3 linked regions of the Nothobranchius furzeri genome follow. The protein of the gene in region 3 interacts with the protein of the main gene of each other region in a pairwise test. Links are inferred from orthologs where the notes say so. Each region holds a gene or a part of one and is shown on either strand. Other genes may lie near its edges.

Region 1 (3,754 bases), on a different chromosome or scaffold from region 3:
CAATTTAATTTATGGTAGGGATGGGGGGGCAAGATCATGAGGTCAAAGAAAGACCTGTCAAAAAGTTTGATGAAAGGTGGGTCCTTATATCTCTCTCATGGCACATAACAAGCTGAATTAAAGGGACTATAGAGATCCGGACGTCACGTGACTCTCAGAGAGTAGACGCCATATTGGCAGGCAAAAAAGGTAAACAAACACGGATCTTAAACATGAACATGAATGGGATTGGCTTGGATTTTACTCCGTCGGAGTTCACTTCTCACTTTAAAACCGAAGAAACCATTTTATATAGTCATAAATTAATTATCTCCGACCCTTACCATGCCCCTGGGATAGTTTTTAAAATGCCAGAAGCTGTCGGAGTGGACCTACCGGATTTGAGATACCCTGACATTTACAATTTTCTTATTAATTTTCCCTCGTCCTACTCCGGAGCATCGCTACGAGCATATAAAAGCCTGGAGGGATACAAATGGACACAATCAGGGTTTGTTGTCAGTATCCAGTCTGGATTCTTTCTGCAAAGGACAGTGCTGTTGTCACCGGGAGGGTAAGTGGAGATTTTTTTTTTACCGTTAGCAACAGCCCGTTGCTAGGTTATCTCTGTGTGAAACGTTGTGCGTTCATGAACCTCAGAAAAATAACTTCAGTATTTTCTTAAAACATAGATGTGAAACAGAACTGTAAACTTGCATCACTTAACTCTTTAGATGCCAAAGGTGTAAAATTGCGACAAGCAACATTTCTGACTGTTACGAGCCACAGTTGCAGATTTGATCACTCATTCTGCCAGGAGATGATAGACATCTGTAACTTAAATCTAAGACACTTTTAATGTGTGTTATCATGTAAAAATTTGGAGTAAATACAGTTTGAAATAATTAATTTTAAAAGTGTCCTTACAAATAAAACAGATATTCCTACCAGCTTCTAAAAAATATATATAAAAAAAAACTTTACCGTAGTCAAATCAATTAAACACACACACACACACACACACACACACACACACACACACACACACACACACACACACACACACACACACACACACACACACACACACACACACAAATAAAATATAAACAGGTGCCTAAAGAGTTAATGATACAGGAGCAGTTATAATGATGGTATTAAATCTGTGTTACAGGCGAATCACTCCCAAAGATTAAATGACCCTCAGTTGAAGCCATGGGTGGCCATCAGGAATGATGGAGTGGTGCTATTAATCTGAGTAATTCGTGTGAACCCTAACCCTGCACCTGATACAGGTGAATGATGCAATGCTGGGTTCCGTATTATTGTTTTATTAATTACAATGATTGGACCGTGACATATAAATGTTTTTGGCTGTTGTTGGGAATAATAATAAAATCACGGTTCGGTCCAGTTCGGAGAGAGGGCGGGGCGCTCCACCGCTTGGTGTGCGCTCGTTTTATAGATCTAGTGGCTGCAGAGAGGCGGGGATGCTGCCGCCGATCTTCCCCATCGTTCCGCCGTCAATTGTGAATAAACGCGGAGAGCAATGGCCTCGGACAGTAAGTAACTGTTTTATAGATGTTTGACCGTTTCTAATGCAGATTTTATTCATTTCATTTCTAAACTGGAATCCGTTCAGCCCGACTGGGATCGAGGGAACCCATAGGCCAGCTGATCGCTTTCCTCTGACGATGGCTGCATTATTATCATTATTATTTTATTATTGTTATTGTTGTCAACGGGGATGATCGCGCTCGTCTGTGGCATAAAGACCACCTGTGCTGTTGTAAGCAGGGCAGTTGCCTCATCTCTAGTCTTATATCATTTATTTGCACTTTGCAGATGTAAATTTCCCCCTTTTGCCAAACCAGCAGGCGGAACCTGAGCATGTGCAGATCCTCAGTCAGTGGTGCATCATGCTGGATCAGGTTTAGGGTTTAATGCCCTGCAGGAGAATCATGACTAGGATGCAGGAAGGGTTCTGCTTGACAGAGTTTTACAGGCCTCGCTCAGCGTGCAGAAACTCATTTATGATGGTAATAAACAAAATAAGCAGCTCCACAGGTAACACACCTGTAGTTCTGTTCAAATCAAACAGACCCACTCAGGCACAGCTACAGCAGCAGGGTTAGAGGAGGTAACGGTGGAGTCCACCATAGCAGCAGCGATGTCTGAATGTCTCCCGCCTTTGATCATCTGTCTAACTCAGACGATGACGCATGCTGCCATGTGGCTCTACTCATGTAACCATGCTGAGATCCCTCTGCTGCTGTGGTTGTGCTCTATGACCCAGTTTGGTCCAGCTGTTGGATGGATCTTCTCACATGTGTGTCTGGAATACTTTGGTAATTGGAGGAGTTCATGTCCAACCCAATACCAGGCCCAAATCATCAGCTCTCCACCACCGTGCTAACTGCTATTATGAGGTTCTGGTGTTTGCTGTGAATCATGAATCTGTGGTCCTCATGAGCATCATGTGGACCCCTGGGAAGCTCATCAGCATCTTAAGTGTTGTTCTTGGTGTGTGTAAACACACACCTACGCTCCAGACCGCCACAAACCCCTATCACGGTCGTTCTGATGACAGTAGAGCTGAATGATGTCAGAAAAAACATGCAGATTTTTGGTTTACTTGTCTACGTTGTGATAAATCCACATTTTCTTGACTCTCACCACGACGTAACAAAGCATCCCTCACAACTCTATCATCTGGGTGCAGAGAGATGGACAACACAACCATGACAGCTCTAGCTAGCTGTGAGTAAGAGGAGGCATCGTTGAGACGTGTTGTGACTAAACCGCAAGAAGAAACTTGGCACAAAATTCATTAAAATATTTTCACTGATTGTTTTGTTTGTTGGTTGTTGCCTCAGCCTGGTGGGTTGTTGCTGTTTCTGAGTGTTCTGGCCTACTTTCAGCTCCTCTTCCATGTCTAATTCATGTCCGTCTCCTCCCTTCTCAGGGATGGCGCGCGCTCTGAGAGCCACTTAATGCTGCTGTTTCAGGAAACTGGAACCAGCCTGAAATCCATGTTTGTTCCTGTCTGTTTGAGCAGTGGGGCCTAGCGATGTGCTGCCCTCCTTTTAGCCTTAAGCCAAGCCTCGGACAGTTACCGGTTTTTAGCACGCTTTGCTGTAAGGGTGGAGGGAGTTTAAAGTTGCATTAAGTACAAATTACAGCAGAAGTTTCTGATTCAGAAGAACAGAAACCTTTCCTGACGTGTGATTAGACTGGAGACCTGTCCTGGACGTCCCCCACCTGCTGGCTGATGGAGGCAGAGCAGCTCCCCGCGACTCTAGTGAGCAGGGTTCAGAGGAGGAATGGAAACCATTTAGTTCAGCTGCTTTTGAGTAAAAGTAATAAATGATCATCGGAGGCCTCCCGAACGACCTCTGAGTTATATCCAACAGGACTGATGAACTAACAGCTGAGCACAGATTCCACAACAACTCATGAAAACAGTGTTTTATACATCACTGTTGTTGCTTTCCACGATTTTTTATGTGTGTGAAATTCACCAGCTGCAACAAAACGCAGCTCTTCACTACAACTAAACTTTATTTATATAGCGCCTTCACATGGCCCAAGGACCAAACAAAGCGCCGCACAACAGAAATGAACATGAAGAAATAAAAACATATAAAACCATTTAAAAACCAACAAAAACATGCAGGTAAAGTCTAGGTGGGGGAGCAAAAAGTGCAAAGCCATCCGTTAACGAGACTCCTCTTGAGTAAAAGCCAAAGAATAAAAGTGTGTTTTCAGACGGCTC
Region 2 (3,754 bases), on a different chromosome or scaffold from region 3:
TAGTGGCCACACTGCCGCTAATCTTTCTGAGAAGAGTCAGATGAACGAATGAATACAGCTCGTCAGTCGTCAGGTCTTTCCCTGTTTAGTTCCAAGTTCGTTTCTGAGGGGTAGTTCCTTCTCACTTGGTGCTTGTTGCAGACAGCCAGCCTTTTGAGGGGCAGATATTTATATGTAAAATAAATAAATAAACACATAAACATACAGGCATCGGGGATGGAGTGGGCCTGCTCAACCTTTGGTGTCCCAGGTGCAGGAAGGTTCTCATTTATAAATATTCTAGGTGTCTTGTCAGTGTTTGGTTGTAAAAATAAATAATCATTAACATAAGAAGGGGTGTCTCTGTTCCTCCTTTCCCATGCACGCTTCATAGAGGGAGTCTCTTTAGTCTGAGAAAAAAACCTGTTTCATTCCCACTACAGCTGGCCTCCTGCACCATGTGAAGGTCAGTAGATCCTTCCATTTTATAACATCACATAAAGAGCATTGTGTAATACAGAACACTTTATTAAAGCTGTTGATCACCTTAGACTCTGTTTCTATTACTACGAGTTGATTGAATAATTCAGAATCTCGTTATTTTTAGAATTTAATTACTTCAGCTTGAGGAATTCAGGATAAAGTTAATTAAAGTGTTTTTGTCTACTTTAGGAAAACAAAGAGTAGAAGCTTACTGGTTAGACATCAGTGTCACTGCAGGTCACAGATCAGCTCTGAGAAGCATTTTCCATCTTAGCTCTTTCATAATGTACTCTCAAACTCGGAAGAACAACGTGGATTAGTAGTCATTTTGTAGATAGCTCTTAAAACATGATTTAATCAAAACACACTAACGGTTAGAATTAAACATTAGAGATAAAGTGTGTTTCCTTATGTGAAAGTGGTGACAAATTTACAGAGAAAAGTTTAATGGCTGTGGTGGATAGTTTTTTGTTTTTTGGTTATTTAGTCTATCATAAAAGAAAAAATGGGAGTTGATTTTTCTATTTCATATTTTCACAACGTTATACATACATTTATAAATGTTAAAGTTCCCAACTAAATATTTTGTTAGAAAGCTAAAAAATAAATAAATTCTAAGTTAAATATTTATTTTTAAAAACTAAATATTTTGCTCATACTTAAATATTTAGTTTGTAAAATAAATACTTTATTTTGAACTAAATATTTAGTTTACAAATTAACCATTTAGATCTGACCTAAATGGTTAGTTTGTAAACTAAATATTTAATTTACTATGTAAATATTTATTTTGGAGCTAAATATTAGTTTACAAACTAAATATTTAGCTCCAAATCAAATATATATTTTCCAAAATAAATATTGAGATCCCAACTAAATATTTTTTAGGGCTAAACCTAAATATTGTTTTTTGTAAACTGAGTGTTTAGCTCCAAAATAAATGTTGGGATATAAATGTTTATTTTGAAAATAATAATAAAACAATTCCTTTTCTGACGTGTAAATGAACTTTAAAACTCACTAAATATATAATTCAGCATTTGTTTTACCACTCTTTCCGTTACAACGTCTAACACTATTATTTTATGAGTTGACAGTGCAGAAAAAAAGCACTTTGGCTAGGCTAGGACCAGGACCATCGACATTACTATAGACCAGGACCAGTTAACGGAACGGAAGCTGAGAAGGGACATTTAGTGAGTTCTGCAGAAAGTGTACATTTGTGTGTCAGTCTGACAGAAACGTAGCGAATATAGAACAGCCGTGGTTTTCTTCCCTGAAAGGCTGGTAAGAGTAAATAAGAAAGTAAGACACCCCAACTTCAAATGTTTATTCTCTGATGTACACTTTAGCTGTGCCTATGTAGCTCTTTATGCTAGTTGGTTAGCGTAGCTGTTAGCAGCTAAAGCTATCAGGTTAGCATTACCAAAAATGTTTTGTGTGAACATAAAGTCCAAATGTGTATAAGGTGGGTTTAGATTAAAATAAATTCTGTAATGTTCTCTGGGAAGTGTCTGCTTTTAGGCAGCACATAAAAAGAAAGCTTTGTCCTGTTAGCAGCAGTATTCTGTTTCTGTAATTCATTTATTTGTCACTGGTAGGTTTTTATTCAAACACTTACACTTAGTTACTTTTGATAACAAATGCAAAAATTGACAAACTTTCGTTACTTCTGACCTGTTGAAGTCCTGAAGTTTCCTTGGCTGATCAGTTAGTAGGTTATTCCATAAATATCTGTCTAATAAATATTTACTATATAAATGTGATTATTGAATTATGTAATTAACAATGCCACATTTATAGATATTGTGAAAATGTGTCACCCATCAGTTGTTTTTATTTCTTTATTTTTTAACAGATCTCCTCAGATGTGGACTGGATCCAGAAGTCTCTCCTGGACTGTTTTATCCTCCATAAGTAGAAAAAAACTTTTAAACATTAAAAGCCTAAATTCTTCTCTCTACTCTGCCCCCCCGCCCACTAAGAGTCACCACTTCCTAACAAGCAGACAATCTGTTTATTTGCAGCCTTTTCCTAATTTCTCTTCCGTCCTCTGCCTGTCTGGTTCTGCTTCGTGTTCCGGCCCAATGGAGTTAAAGGAGGTTCTGGAGGTTCTGGAGCAGCTGGCTCCTCTGTCGCTGGCCGAATCGTGGGATAACGTTGGCTTACTGGTTGAGCCAAGCAAACATCGTGTGATTAAAACCATCCTGCTGACCAATGACCTGACTGAAGCGGTCATGGAGGAGGCTGAGGCTGTGAATTGTGACCTCGTCGTCTCGTACCACCCACCTTTGTTTCGGCCCATTAAGCGTCTGATTCAGAAAGACTGGAAGCAGCGGTTAGCCATTCGTGCTGTGGAGGCTGGGATCGCAATCTTTTCCCCTCACACTTCTTGGGATAGTGCTAAAGGAGGGGTGAATGACTGGCTGGTTGGGGGTCTTGGTAAAGAAATCCAAGAGTTACCTGTTAATGCATGTTTTAGCTTAAAGACTGCTATCAGTTGACTGTCTTTTCTTGTTTTGTTTTTATCCTTTCAGGCCGCGGTCAGGTGTCTGTGCTGAATCAGGCCCTCGGCGGAGCCTCCCACTGTCAAAAACTGGAGTTCATGGTTAGGAACGCCGAGGAGCTCAATTCTGTTGTAGAGGAGCTGAAGGCTTGTGGTGACGGAACAACTCTACAGTTCACCAGCAGCAGGTTGTTAGAAAACATGTCGCTGCACATGGAGATGATCTCAGAAACACGTTACATTTGGGTGCATTTTGGGGACAGTTTAGGAAAATACAACATGTAAATTCACTCCATAGAATCAGAAAGTTTGACAGGATGAGTCAAGTTTCACACTTTAATTTATTAATTGTTTATTTAATGCTTCATAAAACCAAAGTAAAATCATATAAATCCCAATACTGCGCTTTTTCAGTTCCCTGCACTGTGGTGTAACAGGCTCATTTCTCTCTTATAGACCAGACAGCAGCTGTGTCCATGTCAGTGTGACCTGCAGTGACTCAGCACTGACCTCTAGTGTCCAGACTCTGTTAAAACACAGCACACCCAGCCAGTCTCTTAGCATTTTGAAGCTGGAGAAGGTAGGACAGCTCTTAGTTCACTTATGAGAAAAGAATTTAACTGAATCCTGAGGATGACACACACACACACACACACACACACACACACACACACACACACACACACACACACACACACACACACACACACACACACACACACACACACACACACACACACACACACACACACACCAGTGATTTTCCACCTCTTGCTTCCCCTGCAG
Region 3 (3,754 bases):
GTTGAGCATTTTTTTAAATAATCTATTAATACTGATTGTTATTGGAAATTAAACAAAAATATAAAATATAATTAGCTTTTTTGGGGAAAATGCAACTATTTACACCATATTTTCTGACATTATTTATACTTATAGTCGACTAAGTTATAATATATATGTGAGATTTTGAAAAAATATGACATAGAAATGTATTTTCCTCGGGAGTCAGGATATAAAATGTTAATGTACGTGAGCTCAGTGTGTGTGGAGCTGAACATTCCTGCCTTTTACCGTTTCAGCTTGACGCTCTCCACACACACGAACCAGTCAGCGGTGTCGTTTTTATCTTCAGGCAAAATGTGTATGAAAGCAGCTGGAGGCTCCTGAAACGACTCGTTCCTCTTGTGTTACGGTTTTACGCTTTATACGAGTTTATGTATCCTGTCACGGTTTCTGTGGAGAAAAAAACGGTCATTAAACACCCAGCCAGGACAGCTGTTGAGCTGAGTAAGCTAAAGAGCCGAATAAGCTAAAGCTAACGGAGCCAGCGTAGGCTAATATGCTGCTATGGCGCTGTGTCCCCCTTTAGTGCATTTGTAAAAAAAAACGCGTACATTTTGTTTTAGCATTGAAACGTTACTTTATTAATGACTAACAAAAACAGAACTGTCATAAACCCCAAGGTCTGAAGATTACATTTAACAACACGTAAAAACATTCCAACAGCTAAATTTGATAAGATAATTAATAGCGCCTCACCTTCTAATGTTTGTTTCCTTTCTTTCGCTGGCGGATCTAGCAACTTCCACAGTGCCGCGTGCCCAGTGACGGCAGCACCACAACACTCGTCTATCTACCAATCACAGCCTCTTTGTTTGTTACATGACGTAAGGTCACGTTTTTACCATTTCTGATCTGCAGTCAGTTTTTCGTGCTTGTGTGGTTTTGAGCAGCCACCGCAGAAAACAGGCAGCCGATCTCAGGTCGGCTTTTTCAACAGATGTGTTTTCGGCTGTTAAGAGAAAAAACTCCGTTTTTTGGATGAAGTAAAAATAATGCAAAAAAATAAATAAATAAAATAAAAAGTAATACAAATGAAAAGTTCCACCTGTGTTGTGTAACACAAAATTCGAAGTACTCTATGTAGCCAGTAGGTGGCCCTGCCTAGAGTCAGCGAAGTAGGAAGTTTTTTCTTCTTCTCCAGCAGCCACATCACTTCCGAGATCCAGAACAGCAACAAAAGACAGCTCAGGCTGTCTGGTGAAACTTCTGCCTACATTTTGGTGAATGATTTAAGGGTTTAGCATTTTGGCAGGTATGTTGTAATTTAAATTCTTATTTTAAAAACAAGTGAAAATTACGTTGACGTTAAATAAAATCCGGAAGTAGACGTAAACATTAGCTCATAAGCTAGCATTTTACATTTACATTCAGGTTTTAAATAGACTCGTCGTGAGTATAATATTTATATTTGAAATTGCTACTTCTAGACACTGTTGTTTGGTAACGAGAGTTTCTCGGTTATCCTGTTTATTTAGTGATGTGGCACTGGCCGGGCCCTGTTTCTACTTCTTCCTGTTTCTCTAACTAAGGATCGCCATTAAACTAGAAAGACATGTAATCATTAGACAGTGATTGTTTATACACTTGAGACCGTTTTAGATTATGACGTGTCAAATGTGGCGTTTTAAAATACGAAAAATCAAAAGTTAGCTCCATTGACATTTGCGATTATTGCTTTCAAAACAGCTTAAGAACCAGGGAGGTTTACTGGGAACACGAGGAATATGAAAGATAAAATAAGAAGTGTTGGGGTTAAAACATGTGTCTACAGTAGATCTGAAGGTCAATGAAAATGGTGCAGTTATAGAAACGACCATATGTCAAGTTTTCAGTCAATATATCTTTTGGAATCCGTTTTGTGTGTGTGTGTGTGTGTGTGTGTGTGTGTGTGTGTGTGTGTGTGTGTGTGTGTGTGTGTGCTAAAGTACCTTTTTTTAATTTCTCAAATTGTTTAATCTTTGGTATTTTGTCATCGATTCTAATTTAAAAAATAGGATTTAAATGTCCACTACACTACACTACACCAGTTTCAGAAATGTTTTATGCCTGAAGGATTTATAGACTAGAAATAAGGGGCTTCATAGGCAAAAAATAATAATAATAATACATCTACCAGAAAATGAGTGGAAACGCAACCAAAGTCTAAATAAGATGCTACACCGTTGCATCAAATAAAAATGAGTAAATCCAGGCTAATTGTTTTTGTAAAAGTTTAGTCCACATTCAATGTGATTCTGTTTCAGTCAACAGTCTCTAAATGTTATCTGGAGTGCCTAAAGGGGAGAACGTCATGGTGGACATGGACAGCAAAGCTGGAGATTTGTTCATCCCAGATGAGGCCCATCCAACCGGCACAGGGGGCATCGGAGTCCTCTCAAGGTGTGAACCACCATGCTTTCATATTTTTACCCTGGCTTTGGTGTGTTGATGATATTCTATTTTGTTTATTTTTATAGGCTCTGGCTTCCTAAAGGCATCTCGGCCAGCATGGCTAAGGAGTGGTTCGACAGGCGCAGGTTGTCCATCCGACCGTGGGCCAGCTTTGTAGACCAGCGCAAATTTTCAAAACCTCGCAACTTTGGAGAGTTGTGTCAGAGGGTGGTTAAAAATGTGGAAGTTTACAACAGCAACTATACCTTCATATTTCTGGGGCTCATCCTCTACTGCATGTAAGACCTAATCAAAGAGAGCTTCATTAAAACAAAAAATGTTAATTAGATCATCTGTGAGACTCTGGCTTCTAGAAAAATGTCGACAGTCTGCTTTAAATAGCTCCAGCCTGACAGCCCTGTTCATTTTTCCTGCTCCTCAGTATCAGCTCGCCCATGCTGCTGATTGCCTTAGCCGTGTATGCTGGTGCCTTCTACGCCATCCACCTTAAGTCTCTGGAGTCCAAACTGGTTGTTCTCGGTGAGTACATTTCCTACAAATCCATAATCTTTTCAAATTTACCAGATTTAGTTTTTTTTTTTTTTTAACATTCAAGGTCTATTTTTTTTTATTCTGTGTGAAACCTTTTAAATATGTCATCCATGCCTGTTCTGGATTTAACCCACGCTGCATTTAGCACCACAAACCCTATTTTTAATATTTTTCTTCATATTTCTTGTTTATCAGGCAGAGAACTGACAGTCCCACACCAGATGAGTCTGGCTGGAGCCGTTTCTCTGCCCGTTTTCTGGTTGGCAGGAGCCGGAGCCGCTGTGTTTTGGGTTCTCGGTAAGCTGAACATGATTTGTTCTTTCCTCGTAATCTTTTTCTGATGTTTCATCTTGATTAAGAACTAAAATCGTTTCTTTTTACATCCATTTTTCCTGTTCTGTGTGGTTTCCTGTCAGGAGCAACTCTGTTTGTGATCGGCTCTCATGCTGCGTTCCGAGAGTTGGAGGCGTCGGACCTGGATGAGCTCCTCATGGAGCCGGTCTAAAGAGCTGCTCCATGATCAGTCCTCGTTTTGACCCTTTGAGAATCTCCTTGAAGATTTTTTTATATCTATACATATATCCTTCTTCCTCATGTTTACCTTATGGCATTGTATTACGAATGCACCTTATGTTGCATGATAAATAACTGTTGTTACACAAATGCATAAATAATGAATTTCTTATTGCTTGAAGCACATTATTCGCCTTTATCTGCATATATTAAGCCTGCGATGCCTCTGGTTTGTGCCATGAAGCCTCTTGCTCTTTAGCGGAGCATCTGCGCTGAA

The links. The genes of interacting proteins can lie anywhere in the genome.
Region 1: the proteins of rabac1 (region 3) and syt16 interact in binary tests that used the Homo sapiens proteins (3 or more experiments, as listed by UniProt). The link is inferred for Nothobranchius furzeri from reciprocal best matches to the Homo sapiens genes RABAC1 and SYT16.
Region 2: the proteins of rabac1 (region 3) and nif3l1 interact in binary tests that used the Homo sapiens proteins (3 or more experiments, as listed by UniProt). The two-hybrid records come from large-scale screens. The link is inferred for Nothobranchius furzeri from reciprocal best matches to the Homo sapiens genes RABAC1 and NIF3L1.

Annotation. Positions count from the first base shown.
Region 1 is NC_091758.1:9,733,228-9,736,981, reverse strand, and holds the start of syt16 (synaptotagmin-16), read left to right. Parts: upstream 1-1,368; 5' UTR 1,369-1,528; coding exon 1,529-1,541; intron 1,542-3,573; exon of another isoform or gene 3,574-3,754. UniProt on the Homo sapiens protein: May be involved in the trafficking and exocytosis of secretory vesicles in non-neuronal tissues. Is Ca(2+)-independent.
Region 2 is NC_091756.1:34,572,096-34,575,849, reverse strand, and holds the start of nif3l1 (NIF3-like protein 1), read left to right. Parts: upstream 1-1,614; 5' UTR 1,615-1,749; exon of another isoform or gene 1,750-1,767; intron 1,768-2,320; 5' UTR 2,321-2,330; coding exon 2,331-2,904; intron 2,905-2,999; coding exon 3,000-3,156; intron 3,157-3,424; coding exon 3,425-3,548; intron 3,549-3,754. UniProt on the Homo sapiens protein: May function as a transcriptional corepressor through its interaction with COPS2, negatively regulating the expression of genes involved in neuronal differentiation.
Region 3 is NC_091745.1:74,795,475-74,799,228, reverse strand, and holds the start of rabac1 (prenylated Rab acceptor protein 1), read left to right. Parts: upstream 1-1,159; 5' UTR 1,160-1,294; intron 1,295-2,285; 5' UTR 2,286-2,299; coding exon 2,300-2,421; intron 2,422-2,498; coding exon 2,499-2,711; intron 2,712-2,854; coding exon 2,855-2,952; intron 2,953-3,159; coding exon 3,160-3,261; intron 3,262-3,380; coding exon 3,381-3,469; 3' UTR 3,470-3,754. UniProt on the Homo sapiens protein: General Rab protein regulator required for vesicle formation from the Golgi complex. May control vesicle docking and fusion by mediating the action of Rab GTPases to the SNARE complexes.